4 linked regions of the Saccharomyces cerevisiae S288C genome follow. The protein of the gene in region 1 purifies or fractionates together with the protein of each later gene. This does not show direct contact. Each region holds a gene or a part of one and is shown in the gene's direction. Other genes may lie near its edges.

Region 1 (4,307 bases):
ATGGGTTTAAGGCCACTCCCAAAGGGCGAATACTACACCAGATTTTTGCATCCTTTGGGACTATAAGACATTTAGCAACCGCACTCAGTGGGCACAAAGCTAATTGCAACTAAGTATATAAATGTAAATATATATATTCTCAGGTTTTTTTGTTGGAAGTTATCAAACGGAACACTCTGTGGACATTTATATTTTTTGTTTCTTAGCTCCATGTTCAGCAAGCTTTTCACTGGAGTCAGCTGCAGTCGCGTTTTCCGATACAGGTTCAGGAGCAGGGATGACTCTGTGACACCACATTAGATATCCACCACCACCTTTCATGGTCATCAGAGGGTGTAGCTTACCCCTTATACTTTGGTACGGCCTACATCTAGTTTCCAAAATTGATGGTGCTAAAAACCTGAGGTCTGAATATAAAGTATGAGCTAATTCCAACAAAGTTTCTTTGAATTGACCATAGCATACAATCGGCCTTGAACCATGGATTTTTTCGGCCAACTTTGGCACTAGTGTTGGTAAATGTAGTGTAGTAGCCATTACAAGACCGTCATATAGGAATTCTCCTGTTAGTTCTAAAATTTGCCATTGTGTATTGTACCATCTGAGTTTTCGGTAGTACGAGTTTTTCTTACCACCTTTTAATGCACGGGCTTCTTCTTTAGGTAATGGTGTAAATCTGCTCTGAATCTCTTGTAGTGTAGGCGGTTCAAAAAAATCTAATAGAGAAATGGTGTGTACATGCTCTTTAATAAATTTCTCAGAATAATTAGCAAACTTCAGCAAATCCAAGTTGGCATGTTCATTTTCGTGAATAACTATGACTTTGCCCTTGGATTTGCTTTCATTGTCACCGCCAAACATTCTTTCCAACAGAAAGTAAACCAATAACCCACCCGTTTCATCCATACAGAGATAGTTGCCTTCTGATTGGATGTTCGCAAGATTTAACAGCATCCCCATCGATTCCTGAGACATATCCAATACCCTTTGGATATCGCCTTTGTCGATTAAGAATTGTAAAAGGTTAGAGCTACTTAAATACTCAACGGTGAAGTACTTGGCGAATTTTTGTTTCTTCCTATTCACATATTTCTCTTGAGAATATACGGTCTTGTTGTGAAAACTTTTGTGAGATTTGATAATTTTGTCGATTATTTCTTTACTAGATAAAGATTCTTGTTTCATTTTTTCAATTTCTTCAACGGTTAACTCTTGGGCCTTGCTGCCCATGTTAACCAGATTCTGATTCGTAGCACTGCTGTCAATGCTAGACAATTCAAGAGACACAGATTTTTCCTTAATAGATAAAGGAGGCTCGCTTTGACCATCGTCTTTATCATTATTGACATCTTTGATCTCCTGCGATAATAGCCTTACTTTCCCGATGGGAATTTTGTTCTTTGGTTTCGAATCTCTATTTTCATCGGATGAAACCTCTTCGCCATCATAATATATCTCGAAAGTCAACCCGAAAGGATAACCAATTATGTCATTAACCTCGAAAGCACCGAATTTTCCTAATGATACAGAGGTGTTGGGCTTTAGTTCCACTATCTTGTAATTTTTTGATGGCAGCCGGACGATAACGTGCTGATTAAAATCTATGGTTGTCAAAGCATTCATTGTGCACTAAATTCAAAGTTTTTTTGTCCAATTCGTTTGCAACAATGTGAGTAGGATCCAACGTGCCAAAGAATTTAAAGTTGAATATTATTATTGTTATTATACACCTCATCGACTTTTTTTTTTTTTTTGATGAAATTTTTCAGATTTTACAAAACCGTTACCCAGTTTCACGTTTTCTGAAAAAAATTTTCATCTCATCGCAGAATAAGTTTAAGATGAGCTGAGCTGCAAATACAGTTGTCGCTAAGGTATATAGATTTGTAATTCTGGCGGAATTCCCCTTGTGTTGGCTAATATTAGAATTACATATACATATAATAGGAAATGGGTAGTAGACGTCATAAGAACAAGCAAGCCGCCCCACCAACCCTGGAGGAGTTTCAGGCAAGAAAGGAAAAGAAGGCTAATAGAAAGCTAGAAAAAGGAAAGAGACCTTCTACCACGCAAGGGGATGAAGTTTCTGATAGAAAGAAAAAGAAGTCGAAGCCATTCAAGAAATCTAGAAAAGAGGAGGAAGAAGTTGTTGAAGAGGATAAGGATTTGCCAGAAGTTGATCTTGAAGAATTATCAAAAGCCAGGAAATCTTTATTTGATGATGAAGAAGATGACGATGAAGCAGGATTGGTGGATGAAGAACTAAAAGATGAATTTGACTTGGAACAAGAATATGATTACGATGAAGATGAAGATAATGACGCCCACCCAATTTTTTCAGATGACGACGATGAGGCTGATCTTGAAGAACTAAATGCACAAAACATGGAAGCTCTTTCTAAGAAACTTGATGAAGAAGAAGCTGAAGAAGCTGAAGAAGCCGAAATGGAGTTAGTGGAAGCGGAGAACATGCAACCAAGAGCAGACATATTGCCCACTGAGGAGCAGGAAGAAATGATGGCACAAGAAACTCCTAATTTAACTTCCACAAGAACAAGAATGATTGAAATTGTAAAGGTTTTGGAAAATTTTAAGACTCTTGGTGCAGAAGGCAGATCGAGAGGAGAATACGTTGACAGACTTTTGAAAGATATTTGTGAGTACTTTGGTTATACACCATTTTTGGCGGAAAAGTTATTCAATCTATTCTCACCAGCAGAGGCGATGGAGTTTTTCGAAGCCAATGAAATTGCAAGACCAATAACCATCAGAACCAACACCTTGAAGACCAGAAGGAGAGACTTAGCTCAAACTCTTGTGAATAGAGGTGTTAATCTACAACCTATTGGTTCTTGGACTAAAGTTGGTCTTCAAATATTCGATTCCCAAGTCCCAATTGGTGCTACGCCAGAATATTTGGCAGGTCACTATATTTTACAAGCGGCATCATCTTTTCTACCAGTTATTGCTCTAGATCCTCATGAAAATGAGCGTATCTTGGATATGGCAGCTGCTCCAGGTGGTAAGACCACTTATATATCAGCTATGATGAAAAACACAGGTTGTGTTTTCGCTAACGACGCCAATAAATCTAGAACAAAATCTTTAATTGCTAATATCCACCGTCTAGGCTGTACCAACACTATTGTATGCAATTACGATGCCCGTGAGTTCCCTAAGGTAATTGGAGGTTTTGACAGAATTTTACTGGATGCCCCATGTTCCGGTACTGGTGTTATCGGTAAGGATCAATCTGTCAAGGTGTCTCGTACCGAGAAGGACTTCATTCAAATTCCACATCTACAAAAACAATTGCTTCTATCCGCCATTGATTCTGTTGATTGCAACTCGAAACATGGTGGTGTAATAGTATATTCGACATGTTCTGTTGCAGTGGAAGAGGACGAAGCTGTCATAGACTATGCATTGAGAAAAAGACCGAATGTCAAGTTAGTCGATACTGGTTTAGCGATCGGTAAAGAAGCGTTTACTAGTTACAGAGGCAAAAAGTTTCATCCTAGTGTGAAATTAGCGAGGAGGTACTATCCACATACGTACAACGTCGATGGGTTCTTTGTCGCTAAATTCCAAAAGATCGGTCCATCTTCGTTTGATGATAACCAAGCAAGTGCAAAAGAAAAGGAAACTGCTGCTAGAAAGGAAGCTTTGGAAGAAGGTATCATTCACTCTGACTTCGCAACCTTCGAGGACGAAGAAGACGATAAGTACATTGAAAAGTCTGTGAAAAACAATCTTTTGAAAAAGGGTGTCAATCCAAAAGCTAAAAGACCTTCTAACGAAAAATAAGTTCCCACAAACGTAGTGGCATCATGTTAGCATAGTTTTCTCTCTCTAATCTTTCTCTGTCTACATATATATATATATATATATATATCAATTTCAAATATGTCTCACTGTATATTAAATTCAAAATAGAAATAATAAAGCCGATTTGTAAACAGCACTAAGAAAAAAGGCGATGATATTACTTATTAATATTCGTTGCCAATATAGTATTACATATATCTCTATTTATTTCTCTTTTTTTGTTTTTAAGGCGTTTCAGTTTGCTGTCTCCTTAGTCTTCAAAATACTTCGTATTCCCTAACTTATGCTCTTTGATGTACTCTGGACCGTACTCTTCGTATTCTTTCTTACTGATAACTGTTTTCCTATACTGTTCTTCGTTTCGTGCTAGAGCTGCCATACCCTTCCAGGCATCCAATGAAGGATCTGAAGACATATTTACAGTGATATTGGTACCGGTAGGAAGGAATCCAGTGAATTCCTTCACAATACGTTCTTTC
Region 2 (5,971 bases), on another chromosome or scaffold:
TTTTGAGTTGAGGCCTTTTTATTGACTCGCCTTATACTCTACTTTATTTGTGTTTTGTAGATAGAATAAACATCAACAGTATAATTCATAATACTTTCTATTGCTTATTTCCTGTATATTCGTTTTTGAATATACTTTGTTCCCAACTTTCTTTTTAGTTTACTTACATTCATATTTACATGTGCGTTACTACTTATTGGTGCAACCAAGTGAACAGCGAGTCTTACCATTGGTAGTACCAATAGGGATTCTTTTTTTTTTCTAGGTGTTGAACCAAATCATAAGGATCATCGTCGACAAATCTTCTAGCAGATAAATCTTTCTCGGTTTTTTCTAAATACGACTTCTTCACTGCGTTCAAAGTATCAGCTTCATCCGGGGCCATCTCATACAGGGAACTGATGATCGGTCTATCTCTGGGACAGCTTGACTCTTTACCATTTGTTTCAATGTAACGCTGGTAGCCAGACTCAATCAAGTTTTCTAGCGGTTCCCTTATACCTACTTGGATACCCCTAGGTATCCATATCTCATGTAGTCCTTTGAACTCATACCTCCCAGTTGTCCTTAATAAAATATATCCTATATCTTTCAGAACGATCTCTATACTTCCAATAAATGGAGGTATTGCGTACCTTTTGTACTGGCTTTTTTCGCATATAACGCTTTTAATTCCACAATACCGTGATAACGGATGTGTGCCAGATGATGAATTGCACGAGTTGAATACATCAATACCTTTTTCAATGTTCTTGAATGTTTTTGATGGTCCTGGTATGTATTTCACAATCTGATTTATGGATCCTTTCGGAGGTACCAGGTAGAAAATCCCTCCCACGGTATAACAGCCTCCCTGTGATGTGCCCTTCATAGACTCATAAGTCTTCTGTTTTATATGCTTCCGATTGAATAAATCGGTTTTTCGCAGCCTTTGAAGCCAACGCTCGTCGATTAGTTCTTCTAGGCGTAATCTGGAGGTGGAAGTTGAATAGCCTGGAAGATCAAAAAGTATTTTACCTCCAACTTGGTAGGCTTGTACGGATCTAGTTAAATTGGGAATATGTGATACACCAGCAGCTTGAATCTTGAAAAAATTCTTCGGGTTCGTAAAAGCTTCTTGCATCACTTCTTCAGAGGGGGAGTTAATTTTCCCAGTAGAATCAATTTTAACCTTATATCCAAGATATTTCTGTAGTAGAGTATTGATCAAAGTTGATTTACCAACATTAGGGTTGCCTAGCAAATATGTGTAGTTTTTAAAGTAGTTGTAAAACATGGATATGTTCCAGTTTTTCAGCGCAGATATGGCGAATGTTTTATTTGAGTCAATTCTTAAAGTGTTCTTTAAAAATTGCTTCATGAATATAGGAACCTTTTTGCTGACAGCATTTTTATCTTTAAAAACTTGATCGCTTTTCGTTAACACTAATGTAGTATCTAAATCATTTCGTTTCAAAACATTGGGGTCTAAATGTAAGGGAAATTCTACAAAGGGGACAATATGCATAACATTTGAGCCTCTGGGGACGTAGTTCAGAATATCATTTAATGTGCTTTCGGGAAACTCTTCCGGGTTATAATTGTTATGATGAAGGGCATTACTGCACCTTTTGCAAATCACTCTCAATAGTAAATCTCTTTTGGTTTTGAGGTCAGGATCATTTTGAGTTGCCTGTTTCGAGAGCTGTATGTCTTGACTGAATAGCAAATACTTCAGATCTTGGAGGTCAGGATTTAGTTTTGAGTCGGGTAGACTTTTTGGCTTCGTATAATATCCTGGTTTACTAGGATCCTGATCCTGTAGTTTTATGGAACATGACGCACATTTCACTTTCACAATCACAGAACAGGAAAACTGACGTACGCCTCGAAGAGCATGACACAGATTCAACATTCCCGCATATTGAATTGTTCAAAGTAATTAGACGTGTTACTAGGAAGGTCCTTCGTTAATATTGCTCTGTTAAATGTATCTTGACCCATAACATCAAATAGTAGTTATCATCTTCGACGAGTTTTGAAAAATTTTCTGAATTTTTTCTTCCGATGAGATGAGCATGATATTTACAGAGAAAATAGAGAAACAGAATACTTGTACATGGGTAAATTCATTTATACTAATTTTTGAATTGTAAGAGAGATAGAGAAGGTCAACAATAGAATAAGTGGAGATGGGTAAAGTTTCTAAATCGACCAAGAAGTTTCAATCGAAGCATTTGAAGCATACTCTAGACCAAAGAAGAAAGGAAAAGATCCAAAAGAAGAGAATCCAAGGCCGTCGTGGCAACAAAACTGATCAGGAAAAGGCCGATGCTGCTGGTACTAGGGAACAACAGCAGTTGAAAAAATCTGCAAAGGAAGAGGTTTTTAAGGACATGTCTGTCGAAACTTTTTTTGAAAAGGGCATCGAAATTCCAAAAGAGAATAAAAAATTGAAGAAAAAAACTACGAAAGAGCAATCTGATGAAGATTCCTCCTCTTCCGAAGAGGAGGAAGACATGGGACAAAGCATGGCAAAGTTGGCCGAAAAGGATCCCGAATTTTATAAGTATTTGGAGGAAAATGATAAAGATTTATTGGACTTCGCAGGTACCAATCCATTGGATGGAATTGATAGTCAAGATGAAGGTGAAGATGCTGAAAGAAACAGTAATATTGAAGAAAAATCTGAACAAATGGAGCTGGAAAAGGAAAAAATTGAGCTTTCTTTGAAATTGGTTAGGAAATGGAAAAAACAACTTCATGATTCTCCAAGCTTAAAATTACTAAGGAACATAATCAGTGCTTTCAAGGTTGCTGTAAATTTGAACAAGGAAGAAAACATCGAAGACTATAAATATGCTATCACTGATGAGAAAGCATTCCACGAATTGATGTTCATGGTCTTGAAAGATGTACCACAAGCGATTCAAAAGATGGCCCCATACAAGATTGTAAAAGGCGCAAGGACCTTACCAAATGGAGGTAACGTCTCCAGGGTCTCGTCCATTGTCAAGTCGCATGCTGGCTCTTTGTTGATTTTATTGAATGATATTACTAATACGGAAACAGCAGCATTAGTTCTTCATTCTGTCAACGAATTGATGCCTTATCTTTTATCATACAGAAGGATCTTAAAGGAGCTTATTAAATCAATTGTTGGAGTATGGTCTACAACGAGAGAATTAGAAACCCAGATTGCTTCTTTTGCCTTTTTGATCAATACCACCAAAGAGTTCAAGAAGTCTATGCTAGAAACAACCTTAAAAACAACGTACTCCACTTTTATCAAAAGTTGTCGTAAAACGAATATGCGTTCTATGCCACTGATTAATTTTCAAAAAAATTCGGCAGCTGAATTGTTCGGTATCGATGAAGTTCTAGGTTACCAAGTTGGATTTGAGTATATTAGGCAATTGGCAATTCATTTAAGAAATACAATGAACGCGACAACTAAAAAATCCAGTAAAATTAATTCCGCAGAAGCTTACAAGATTGTATACAACTGGCAATTCTGTCACTCCTTGGATTTCTGGTCTCGTGTACTATCGTTTGCTTGTCAACCAGAAAAGGAAAATGGCAGTGAATCTCCTTTACGACAATTAATTTACCCATTGGTTCAGGTTACTTTGGGTGTAATCAGATTAATCCCAACACCACAATTCTTCCCATTAAGATTTTATTTGATTAAATCACTTATTAGACTTTCTCAAAATAGTGGTGTTTTTATTCCAATATATCCTTTACTTTCTGAAATTTTAACCTCAACGGCTTTCACTAAGGCACCCAAAAAGAGCCCTAACTTGGCTGCTTTCGATTTTGAGCACAACATCAAATGTACGCAAGCTTATCTGAATACAAAAATATACCAAGAGGGTTTGTCAGAACAGTTTGTGGACTTATTGGGCGATTATTTTGCTCTGTACTGTAAAAACATTGCATTTCCTGAACTTGTAACACCGGTTATTATCTCTTTACGCCGTTACATCAAGACTTCAACTAATGTCAAACTTAACAAACGTTTATCAACTGTTGTAGAAAAATTGAACCAAAACAGCACATTCATCCAAGAAAAGAGATCAGATGTTGAATTTGGGCCAACAAACAAATCTGAAGTTTCAAGATTTTTGAATGATGTAGCTTGGAATAAAACACCTTTAGGTTCTTATGTTGCAGTACAACGTGAAGTTAAGGAAGAAAAGGCCAGATTAATGAGAGAAAGTATGGAAGAACAAGACAAAGAAAGAGAAACAGAAGAAGCAAAATTATTAAACAGTCTGGAAAGTGATGATGACAACGAAGATGTTGAAATGTCAGACGCTTAACAACTCAGCAAGATTTGATTTTTTGTCTTGAATTCAATAGTTAAGTCTATAAATGTGTAAAATAAAGAAAAGTCTTTTTTAAAGCGTATATATCATTGTGCTCACATGTGCTAACATGTGAGCACTCCAAGCTTTCTCTTGTCAGCTGGATATTTTTATATTTTGGCCGGTTTATGGATAGAAAACACGTCAAACGTTCGATGGATCTTATAAAAAGTAATGATGTAAAGCAAGGTACAAAAATGAAAGAAGTACGGTTTACTGTTATATAATTTTCGAAATCGTTCAACTCTCTTAAAGTTCCTCACGAAATAGATATGATTGCTAACATAACGCAAAATTTAGTACAAGATATATGATTTCTTACTGCTGGAAGATATCTTCCAATCTTAATCTTGGGGCTATGTTCATGGATAATAATTCCTGGAATAACAGTTTTGCTGCATATGGAATAGTCATCTTAATAATATTCTCAGCACTTTTGCAGGTAGTACACCAACCACTATAGCCCATTAATCCACATTTATCGCAGACATCAACTTCAAAAGCATCTGAACTAATCATCAACCTTTCTAACAGCAATTGTGAAGCACCATACGCGATTACACAATCCCTCTCCATCTCACCCAACCTCAGACCACCATCTCTAGATCTACCCTCAGTTGGTTGACGTGTCAAAACAGCCCTTGGACCACGAGCTCTTGCATGCATCTTATCTAAGACCATATGCTTTAACTTTTGATAGTAAATGGGGCCAAAAAAGATGTAAGCCTGTAAACACTCACCTGTTATACCTGAATATAACATATCCTTACCGGAATAGTTGAAACCTTGGTCTACCAAAATCTTAGACATATCTTCAAGTTTAGAACCACCAAAACAAGTACCATATTCCAATGTACCATTCAATACACCAGCTTTACCCGATATCAGTTCGATCATTTTACCCACAGTCATACGAGATGGAAAACCGTGAGGGTTCATGATAATGTCTGGAACTATACCTTGATCGTTGAAGGGCATGTCTTCTTGCTTTACAATAATACCACAAACACCTTTTTGACCATGTCTAGAAGAAAATTTGTCACCTAATTCTGGCCTTCTGTTTTGTCTTAGCAAAACTTTGATTAAAGCTTGATCGTTATCCGAAACAGACATCATAACTTGGTCAATGTGAGAAGGTTCTGGACCTCTATATATTACCGGAGCTTCCCTATATTGAGTTTGGACGTTTACGTTGTTTGGGTTTGGGGCGTCTGCTGAGTTAGTTGGAACTGACTTATTTATATAAATTTGTCCACTTTGGACCTTCATACCCACCTCACCTAGACCATCAGGACCAAGAGATTGATGTTGCCAGATAGGATCTCCATTTTCATCAACTCTCATACCACCGATGATATCTTGGGTATGGTTCGCATATCTTTTCAAAACAGTGGTTGTCTTTCTACGTGTTTCGCAACGGCCGAAACCTCTATCGATGGATGACTTATTCAAAACCAAAGCATCTTCAATATCATAACCAGAATAGGACATGACAGCAACCGTAGCATTTTGACCAGCAGGTAATTTATCATAATCGATCAATTCAATTGTTTTGGTTTTCACCATTGGCTGTTGTGGATAAGTCATCAAGTATAATAATGTATCTATTCTCTTGAATTGAT
Region 3 (3,236 bases), on another chromosome or scaffold:
AGTTGTGAAGATTGGCAAATAAATCTTTAAAATAACTTCTTTGTCCGGGCTAAGCAGGATACCACACTTTAAATGATGATTACCACCCCACAAGAGAAGTCGGTCTGAATTTATTAATTCTGGTATCAGCAAATCCCGTATTTCAATAACTTCAAGAAATCTTGTTCCTCGTGGCCCAATGGTCACGGCGTCTGGCTACGAACCAGAAGATTCCAGGTTCAAGTCCTGGCGGGGAAGATTTTTTATACATTTTTCTAGACTTTTGATTTTTATACCTAGTGACAATTAAAATATAGAAAAGAGTTGGTAACCTCAGCTGCCGTACTCTTCAATTTAATTGGAGAAGTTGTCGAGTTTTTTTAAAGTACATTTCATTGGAACAACTAGTGACTAGTTCGAACGCGGAAAGACAATAATAGTACCCATAACGATAACTCCTTCGTTATCTATTGAATAGCTTGCCTTTCAAGTAAATCAATAATCAAGTCTGCGTATATCATTTATCGAGCACTTCTGAAAAAGATACCAGTTACACTGAAATACAACGATCGGATTACATAATGAATAATAACAGCAGAAACAACGAAAATCGAAGCACTATTAACAGAAATAAAAGGCAACTACAACAAGCAAAAGAAAAAAATGAAAATATTCATATCCCCAGGTATATTAGAAATCAACCATGGTACTATAAGGATACCCCCAAAGAACAAGAAGGGAAGAAGCCCGGCAATGATGATACGAGCACTGCAGAAGGAGGAGAAAAAAGCGACTACTTGGTGCATCATAGGCAAAAAGCAAAAGGGGGTGCTTTAGATATTGACAATAATTCAGAACCAAAAATTGGTATGGGTATAAAGGATGAGTTCAAACTAATCAGACCCCAGAAGATGTCCGTCCGAGATTCTCATTCGCTGTCATTTTGTAGGAATTGTGGGGAAGCAGGGCATAAGGAGAAAGACTGCATGGAAAAACCTCGTAAGATGCAGAAGCTTGTTCCCGATTTAAATTCACAAAAAAATAATGGCACAGTTTTAGTACGAGCTACTGATGATGACTGGGACTCCAGAAAAGATAGATGGTACGGTTACTCAGGGAAAGAATACAATGAACTGATAAGTAAGTGGGAGCGTGATAAAAGAAATAAAATAAAAGGAAAAGACAAATCCCAAACTGATGAAACACTATGGGATACAGATGAAGAGATAGAACTAATGAAGTTAGAACTTTACAAGGATTCCGTAGGTTCATTGAAGAAAGATGATGCTGATAATTCTCAGTTGTATAGGACATCAACGAGATTGAGAGAAGATAAGGCTGCTTACTTGAACGACATAAATTCAACGGAGAGTAATTATGATCCTAAATCAAGATTGTACAAAACTGAAACACTGGGCGCAGTTGATGAAAAATCAAAAATGTTCCGCAGACATTTGACAGGTGAAGGCCTAAAATTAAACGAATTGAACCAGTTTGCTAGATCTCACGCTAAGGAAATGGGTATACGTGATGAAATTGAGGATAAGGAAAAAGTACAACATGTTTTAGTCGCCAATCCTACTAAATATGAATATCTGAAGAAAAAACGGGAACAAGAAGAAACCAAGCAGCCCAAGATTGTCAGCATTGGAGATCTGGAAGCTAGGAAAGTAGATGGTACAAAGCAATCTGAGGAACAACGGAACCACTTAAAAGATTTATATGGTTAAGTTATATCATTTGAATTTCCAATATCCTAGTCACGGAGCACGAGAGGTAAAGAATTTAGAAAAAAAAATGCGATGAGCTGAAAAAAATTGTCAAATATAAACTACATTCTTAAGTATACGTATATATCTTGCGCATTCACGGCATAATACACTAAATAGACACTTAAAAAATCGAGTGAGAACATTCACAATGGAGACCTCCAACTTTGTTAAACAATTATCGTCGAACAACAGAAAAACCAGGGTAAATGCACTCGAAGCGTTAAAGAAATATCTAACCGCTAAACAGTTCAAGGAGAACAAACAAATAGAATTCAATAAACTTTGGAAGGGTCTTTACTATGCAATGTGGTTCAGTGACCGTCCTAGACCTCAGCAACGTTTAGCCAATGAATTAGGTGAATTGCATGGATTATATTTTGATCCTAAGGACAATAGCACTGCAGATGAGTTGACCACAAACGATAAAGCATTTATAAAGTTTAGCAGAGGGTTTTGGAAGGTCATGTGCTTTGAATGGTTTAACATTGACAGATATAGGTTGGATAAGTATCTTCTATTGATAAGAAGGGTATTATTCAGTCAATTGAAGTATTTGCAGTCCAGAAACTGGGACAAAAAATTAGTCGACGAGTATATTAAGAAAGTGTTGAGGTGGTTACCTCTGAGTGGAAGTCCAAAGGTCTACACAGGGATTCCAATTCATATCGTCGATATTCTGCTGGACGAATGGGAAAGATTGCTTAAAGATGGAGATGAAGACGATGAAGACGAGGAAAACAAAGAGGAAGAGATGCGCAAAATTGCAGAGAGCGCAAAAAAAACGCCACTAGCCGATGTTATCGCAATTTTCCAAGATATCGTGGCAGATTACAATAACAGTAAGGTGTTGAGAGAGAAGATCAAAGAAGACCTATTCAGTGACACCAGACTTGTTTCCTGGGATATTCTTGAAGGCGAAACGCAACATAATGATTCCAGTAACGAATCTGAAGAAGAGGAAGAGGAAGAGTGGAAGGGATTTTGATTCTTCCTGGCGGTAGTATGTAAGTAATCGTAAGTCGCTCATATAAATTGTAGTTGTATATCTATAGTACGAAAAATTCATTACCCTCTGTGGATATTGGCGGAATGCGAAACACGTCGCCTTTTTTTCCTCGCAACATTTTTTTTATTTTTTTTTCGTTTTGAAATGAAAGAATACTAGTGATTAAATTAAACAAGGAAAATAGTACAGATTGGCGTGTATTGTCCATAACTCGTGTCCATTGTCCGCACTACGCTAGTTTACCAAAGATAAAATCACGTATAACATTGAAAAATAAAATGGCTAGAGCTAGTGAAAAAGGTGAAGAGAAAAAGCAGAGCAACAACCAGGTTGAAAAGCTGGTTGAAGCACCTGTAGAATTTGTCAGAGAAGGTACTCAATTCTTGGCCAAGTGTAAGAAACCTGATTTGAAGGAATACACCAAGATTGTCAAGGCTGTTGGTATTGGTTTTATTGCAGTCGGTATCATTGGTTACGCC
Region 4 (5,299 bases), on another chromosome or scaffold:
GCAGTACCTCTGCGCCAGATTGGGTGCTGTCACTGGCCTAGATCTGGCACAAAATTGTAAGAAACATTTGCCCTTTGGACTTAACATTACTCTTTATATTCTGGCGGAGATGGCAATTATTGCCACAGATCTGGCAGAAGTGGTAGGAACCGCTATTTCTTTGAATATCCTTTTCCATATACCTCTCGCCCTAGGTGTGATACTTACTGTGGTAGACGTTTTAATTGTTCTGCTAGCTTACAAACCTAACGGTTCCATGAAGGGTATCAGAATATTTGAAGCTTTTGTTTCTTTATTGGTGGTTCTTACCGTAGTTTGCTTTACTGTTGAACTGTTTTATGCCAAACTGGGACCTGCCAAAGAAATATTTTCTGGGTTCTTACCCAGTAAAGCCGTTTTTGAAGGTGATGGGTTATACTTAAGTCTGGCAATTCTGGGCGCCACGGTAATGCCTCATTCATTATATTTGGGGTCAGGTGTGGTTCAACCAAGATTAAGAGAGTATGATATCAAAAACGGACATTACTTGCCAGACGCGAATGATATGGATAACAATCACGATAATTACAGGCCATCCTATGAGGCCATCAGTGAAACTCTGCACTTTACTATAACGGAATTACTGATCTCGCTGTTCACGGTGGCATTATTTGTCAATTGTGCCATTCTTATCGTGTCTGGCGCTACACTATACGGGTCCACTCAAAATGCTGAGGAAGCTGACTTATTTTCTATTTACAACTTACTCTGTAGTACTCTTTCCAAGGGAGCGGGAACGGTATTCGTGCTGGCATTGTTGTTTTCAGGACAGAGTGCCGGTATCGTGTGTACGTTGAGTGGACAAATGGTTAGTGAAGGGTTCTTAAATTGGACTGTTTCTCCGGCATTGAGAAGATCCGCCACAAGAGCGGTAGCCATCACGCCTTGTTTGATTTTAGTGCTTGTAGCTGGACGTAGCGGCCTCTCTGGTGCACTAAATGCTTCCCAAGTGGTACTTTCTCTCTTGCTGCCTTTTGTTTCTGCACCTTTACTTTACTTCACTTCAAGCAAGAAGATTATGCGTGTACAGCTTAACCGTACCAAAGAACTTTCAAGAACTACAGACAAAAAACCCGTGGCCGACCGAACCGAAGATGATGAGACCATTGAGCTCGAAGAAATGGGCATAGGCAGCAGCTCACAGGAGCGCAGCTTAGTTTCTCCTGCTCCAGAATACAAAGACATGAGCAATGGAATGATCGTCACCGTGCTCGCAATCATAGTATGGTTGATTATCTCCGGACTGAACTTTTATATGTTACTGGGCTTTACTACGGGCAAAGAAGTACACCTCTAATATAACAATTCTTTAGACTAGTATAAGTATACATTTTATCCAAGAATAATAACAGAAAATTCCAATCAAAAAGTTGGTGTTAGGCTATACTGATGGCCGTATCGCTCCATACGAGCCAATCAGGGCCCCGCGCGTTATTTCCGCCGCTTACAGCTTTCTTTGAATCTCCCTATGAAAAGGGACCTAATTGGTCCGGTCAAAGCATTAATAAAGATCAACAATTGCTCTTGCTTATCAAGGTGCCAGATCTCAAGGTTACCTCATTTCTTTACATTTCATCCACATTTTAGCACACTTATTTATTATTACAATTTGAAAAATTGTATCACTTCTGAGACTTAGTAGCGGAGATAAACAGCCGAACAATTGTATTTGACACATAAACTAATAAATATACAACAATGTTATCAAGGGCCATATTCAGAAATCCAGTTATAAATAGAACTTTATTGAGAGCCAGACCTGGTGCTTATCATGCAACTAGATTGACTAAAAATACGTTTATTCAAAGTAGGAAGTATTCTGACGCACATGATGAAGAAACCTTTGAGGAATTCACCGCAAGATACGAAAAGGAGTTTGATGAAGCCTATGATTTGTTTGAAGTGCAAAGAGTGCTCAACAACTGTTTTTCCTATGATTTAGTTCCTGCTCCTGCTGTTATTGAAAAAGCTTTGAGGGCTGCCAGAAGAGTCAATGACTTACCTACCGCAATTAGAGTATTTGAGGCTTTGAAATACAAGGTGGAGAATGAAGACCAATACAAGGCCTACTTGGATGAATTGAAGGATGTCAGACAAGAATTGGGCGTTCCCTTAAAGGAAGAGCTATTTCCAAGCTCTTCTTAATAATAAGGAAAAAGCTACCACACAACGTCTGTAATTTGTTGTCCTTTTTTTATTTGTGGAAAATTCCTCAATTTGAAATAAGATTCGTATTTATTTTGTAAAACGATTTTAGTTTTTATTTTTTTTTTTTCTTCCCTTTTACCTTATTATTTGTTTTACCCTTTATGGATATTCATCCACTCAGAAACTAATATATCAAAATCAACGATAAGATCACAAGAGGTGAAATAAGAAAAGTAAAAGAAAAATATTTAAATTTAACCATTATGATTTCCACTTTGTTTTCTCTACTCTATTACTTGAACAAACTTTATTTTTGGTAATGAGGGCTGGTCACAGATTACCTTTAATATCCTTTGTTAGTAGCTTTTTTGTGTTCTATTTCAGGAAAGAAGAATGGGAAAAATAATAAAACAATAAATAACTATATAAAAAACAAAAACCTAGAATATACCATTAAAGAATTACTATTCTATTCTGTGCTTCACCGTTGCGTCAATAAATGTGAAGTTGATGTCACTTCATACTAAAAAAATTAAAGACAATTTCCTGAAAAAAATTTTTCCACTGGAGCTCATCGCAAATTTTGAAAAGTAACAAAAAGCGTTTGTATACTGCATAAAGAATAGTGTCTGTTTTATAAGAAATATTAGACAGCAGGCAGATAAACCTACGTTCCAGACTATAAAGTATAAAATGGCTAAAAAGAGTAACTCAAAGAAATCTACGCCTGTAAGTACACCAAGCAAAGAAAAGAAGAAGGTTATTGAAAAGAAATCTTCCACAGCCATTCCTAGGGAAAGAGTTATTAAAGCTGTCAACGAGCTTATAAAATTCACTTCCAAGCCACAAGATGAAAATAATGAAGAAGGAAATAACGGTAAGAAAAACCTATTGGAAGATGATGAAGAAGAATTGAAGAAAGATCTGCAATTAATCGTAGTAAATAATAAATCATTCACCGGTACTTCCAAATCATTCAAATTGAAATTACTAAATGTCAAACATTCGTTTTACAAGCCTTGGAAAGAAGCCAGTGCAACAGCGGTTAAGGATTTCAAAGTTTTATTAATTTTGAAGGATTCTGATATTAAGAAAGTTTCAGAAGATGATTTATTTGATCAATTAGATTCAGAAGGAATCAAGGTTGATGAAATCATTTGCGGGAAAGACTTAAAGACCGTTTACAAGGCATATGAGGCTAGAAACGCTTTTATATCTCAGTTTTCTTTGATTTTGGCTGACGACAGTATAGTTACATCTTTGCCAAAACTTATGGGAGGCAAAGCCTACAACAAAGTAGAAACTACTCCTATATCAATTAGAACACATGCAAATAAGGAATTTTCCTTGACCACTTTGACGAACAATATCAAAAAGGTTTACATGAATCAGTTGCCCGTTAAACTTCCAAGAGGTACCACGTTGAATGTCCATTTGGGTAATTTAGAATGGTTAAGGCCAGAAGAGTTTGTAGATAACGTTGAATTAATTTCTGAACAGTTAATCAAAGCATACCAAATCAGATCCATTTTTATCAAGACCAATAGGTCGCCCGTATTGCCATTATACTATAACCAGGACGTTCTTGATGAACTTGAAGCTAAAAAGGACAAAATCGAAGAAACCCACGAAGATGACATGGTCACCATTGATGGTGTACAAGTTCATTTGTCTACCTTCAACAAGGGTTTGATGGAAATCGCCAATCCTTCCGAATTGGGTTCAATTTTCTCTAAACAAATTAACAATGCAAAAAAGAGATCTTCTAGCGAGCTTGAAAAAGAATCTAGCGAGTCAGAAGCTGTCAAGAAGGCTAAAAGTTAATTTGTTTCCTCCTTATCTATCTTTTCTCTCATTTTTTTCTTGTGAAGAAAAAAATTTGAATTTCATAGAGTGCGGTGCATATGTATATATCTATATATGTTTGAAGTGTATATTAAAAATAAAGTCATTATTTGAATATTGGTTTCTCGGTCTAAGAGCTTATACGTTTTAGACTGATCTGTTGTACTATCCGCTTCAAATAAATAGATCATTGAAAGTGACGGGGATAACAGCATTTTACCTTTAAAAGACGTTCTCATAATACATTTTAGGATTAATACATATGCTTTTTTTTTATTCGAAATCTGGGGATTCTATACAGAGTTGTAAGTTAGGCAAACTAGAATTTGGTAATAATATTTTATTCTTGGGGCGACATATGGAGATACTTTATTTCCTTTTCTTAATTATTAACGTATACCTATAAATTAACAAAGTATCTAAACAAAATACATAAGTGTACTCAAACTGAGTAGAATCGTCGATTAAACTTCCTTCTCCTTTTAAAAATTAAAAACAGCAAATAGTTAGATGAATATATTAAAGACTATTCGTTTCATTTCCCAGAGCAGCATGACTTCTTGGTTTCTTCAGACTTGTTACCGCAGGGGCATTTGTCGTCGCTGTTACACCCCGTTGGGCAGCTACATGATTTTTGGCATTGTTCATTATTTTTGCAGCTACCACATTGGCATTGGCACTCATGACCTTCATTTTGGAAGTTAATTAATTCGCTGAACATTTTATGTGATGATTGATTGATTGATTGTACAGTTTGTTTTTCTTAATATCTATTTCGATGACTTCTATATGATATTGCACTAACAAGAAGATATTATAATGCAATTGATACAAGACAAGGAGTTATTTGCTTCTCTTTTATATGATTCTGACAATCCATATTGCGTTGGTAGTCTTTTTTGCTGGAACGGTTCAGCGGAAAAGACGCATCGCTCTTTTTGCTTCTAGAAGAAATGCCAGCAAAAGAATCTCTTGACAGTGACTGACAGCAAAAATGTCTTTTTCTAACTAGTAACAAGGCTAAGATATCAGCCTGAAATAAAGGGTGGTGAAGTAATAATTAAATCATCCGTATAAACCTATACACATATATGAGGAAAAATAATACAAAAGTGTTTTAAATACAGATACATACATGAACATATGCACGTATAGCGCCCAAATGTCGGTAATGGGATCGGCTTACTAATTATAAAATGCATCATAGAAATCGTTGAAGTTTGCCGTAGTAATACCCAGATTATCAGATTCCAAATCCTTGTCAATA

Evidence for each region.
Region 2: the proteins of NOP2 (region 1) and NOC2 purify together in Saccharomyces cerevisiae (affinity purification with mass spectrometry; 8 studies listed by BioGRID, with this or other methods). This does not show direct contact.
Region 3: the proteins of NOP2 (region 1) and RRP1 purify together in Saccharomyces cerevisiae (affinity purification with mass spectrometry; 6 studies listed by BioGRID). This does not show direct contact.
Region 4: the proteins of NOP2 (region 1) and CIC1 purify together in Saccharomyces cerevisiae (affinity purification with mass spectrometry; 8 studies listed by BioGRID). This does not show direct contact.

Annotation. Positions count from the first base shown.
Region 1 is NC_001146.8:508,590-512,896, forward strand, and holds NOP2 (rRNA (cytosine-C5-)-methyltransferase NOP2), read left to right. Parts: upstream 1-1,950; coding exon 1,951-3,807; downstream 3,808-4,307. Other genes in the region: MTQ1 (S-adenosylmethionine-dependent methyltransferase), read left to right, coding at 1-113; tRNA 1-methyladenosine methyltransferase subunit GCD10, read right to left, coding at 187-1,623; actin-related protein ARP5, read right to left, coding at 4,079-4,307. UniProt on the Saccharomyces cerevisiae protein: S-adenosyl-L-methionine-dependent methyltransferase that specifically methylates the C(5) position of cytosine 2870 (m5C2870) in 25S rRNA. Required for 60S ribosomal subunit synthesis and processing.
Region 2 is NC_001147.6:725,341-731,311, forward strand, and holds NOC2 (mRNA-binding ribosome synthesis protein NOC2), read left to right. Parts: upstream 1-2,171; coding exon 2,172-4,304; downstream 4,305-5,971. Other genes in the region: GEP3 (Gep3p), read right to left, coding at 224-1,894; DNA-directed RNA polymerase III core subunit RET1, read right to left, coding at 4,668-5,971. UniProt on the Saccharomyces cerevisiae protein: Involved in the intranuclear transport of ribosomal precursors.
Region 3 is NC_001136.10:616,970-620,205, reverse strand, and holds RRP1 (Rrp1p), read left to right. Parts: upstream 1-1,899; coding exon 1,900-2,736; downstream 2,737-3,236. Other genes in the region: mRNA splicing protein SLU7, read left to right, coding at 561-1,709; translocon subunit SSS1, read left to right, coding at 3,036-3,236. UniProt on the Saccharomyces cerevisiae protein: Required for 27S rRNA processing to 25S and 5.8S.
Region 4 is NC_001140.6:207,968-213,266, forward strand, and holds CIC1 (Cic1p), read left to right. Parts: upstream 1-2,880; coding exon 2,881-4,011; downstream 4,012-5,299. Other genes in the region: divalent metal ion transporter SMF2, read left to right, coding at 1-1,336; YHR050W-A (uncharacterized protein), read left to right, coding at 1,508-1,678; COX6 (cytochrome c oxidase subunit VI), read left to right, coding at 1,738-2,184; YHR052C-B (uncharacterized protein), read right to left, coding at 4,552-4,725; metallothionein CUP1-1, read right to left, coding at 4,568-4,753; YHR054C (uncharacterized protein), read right to left, coding at 5,218-5,299. UniProt on the Saccharomyces cerevisiae protein: An adapter protein that specifically links the 26S proteasome to its substrate CDC4 which is one of the substrate recognition subunits of the SCF E3 ubiquitin ligase complex. Required for turnover of cell cycle regulatory proteins CDC4 and GRR1.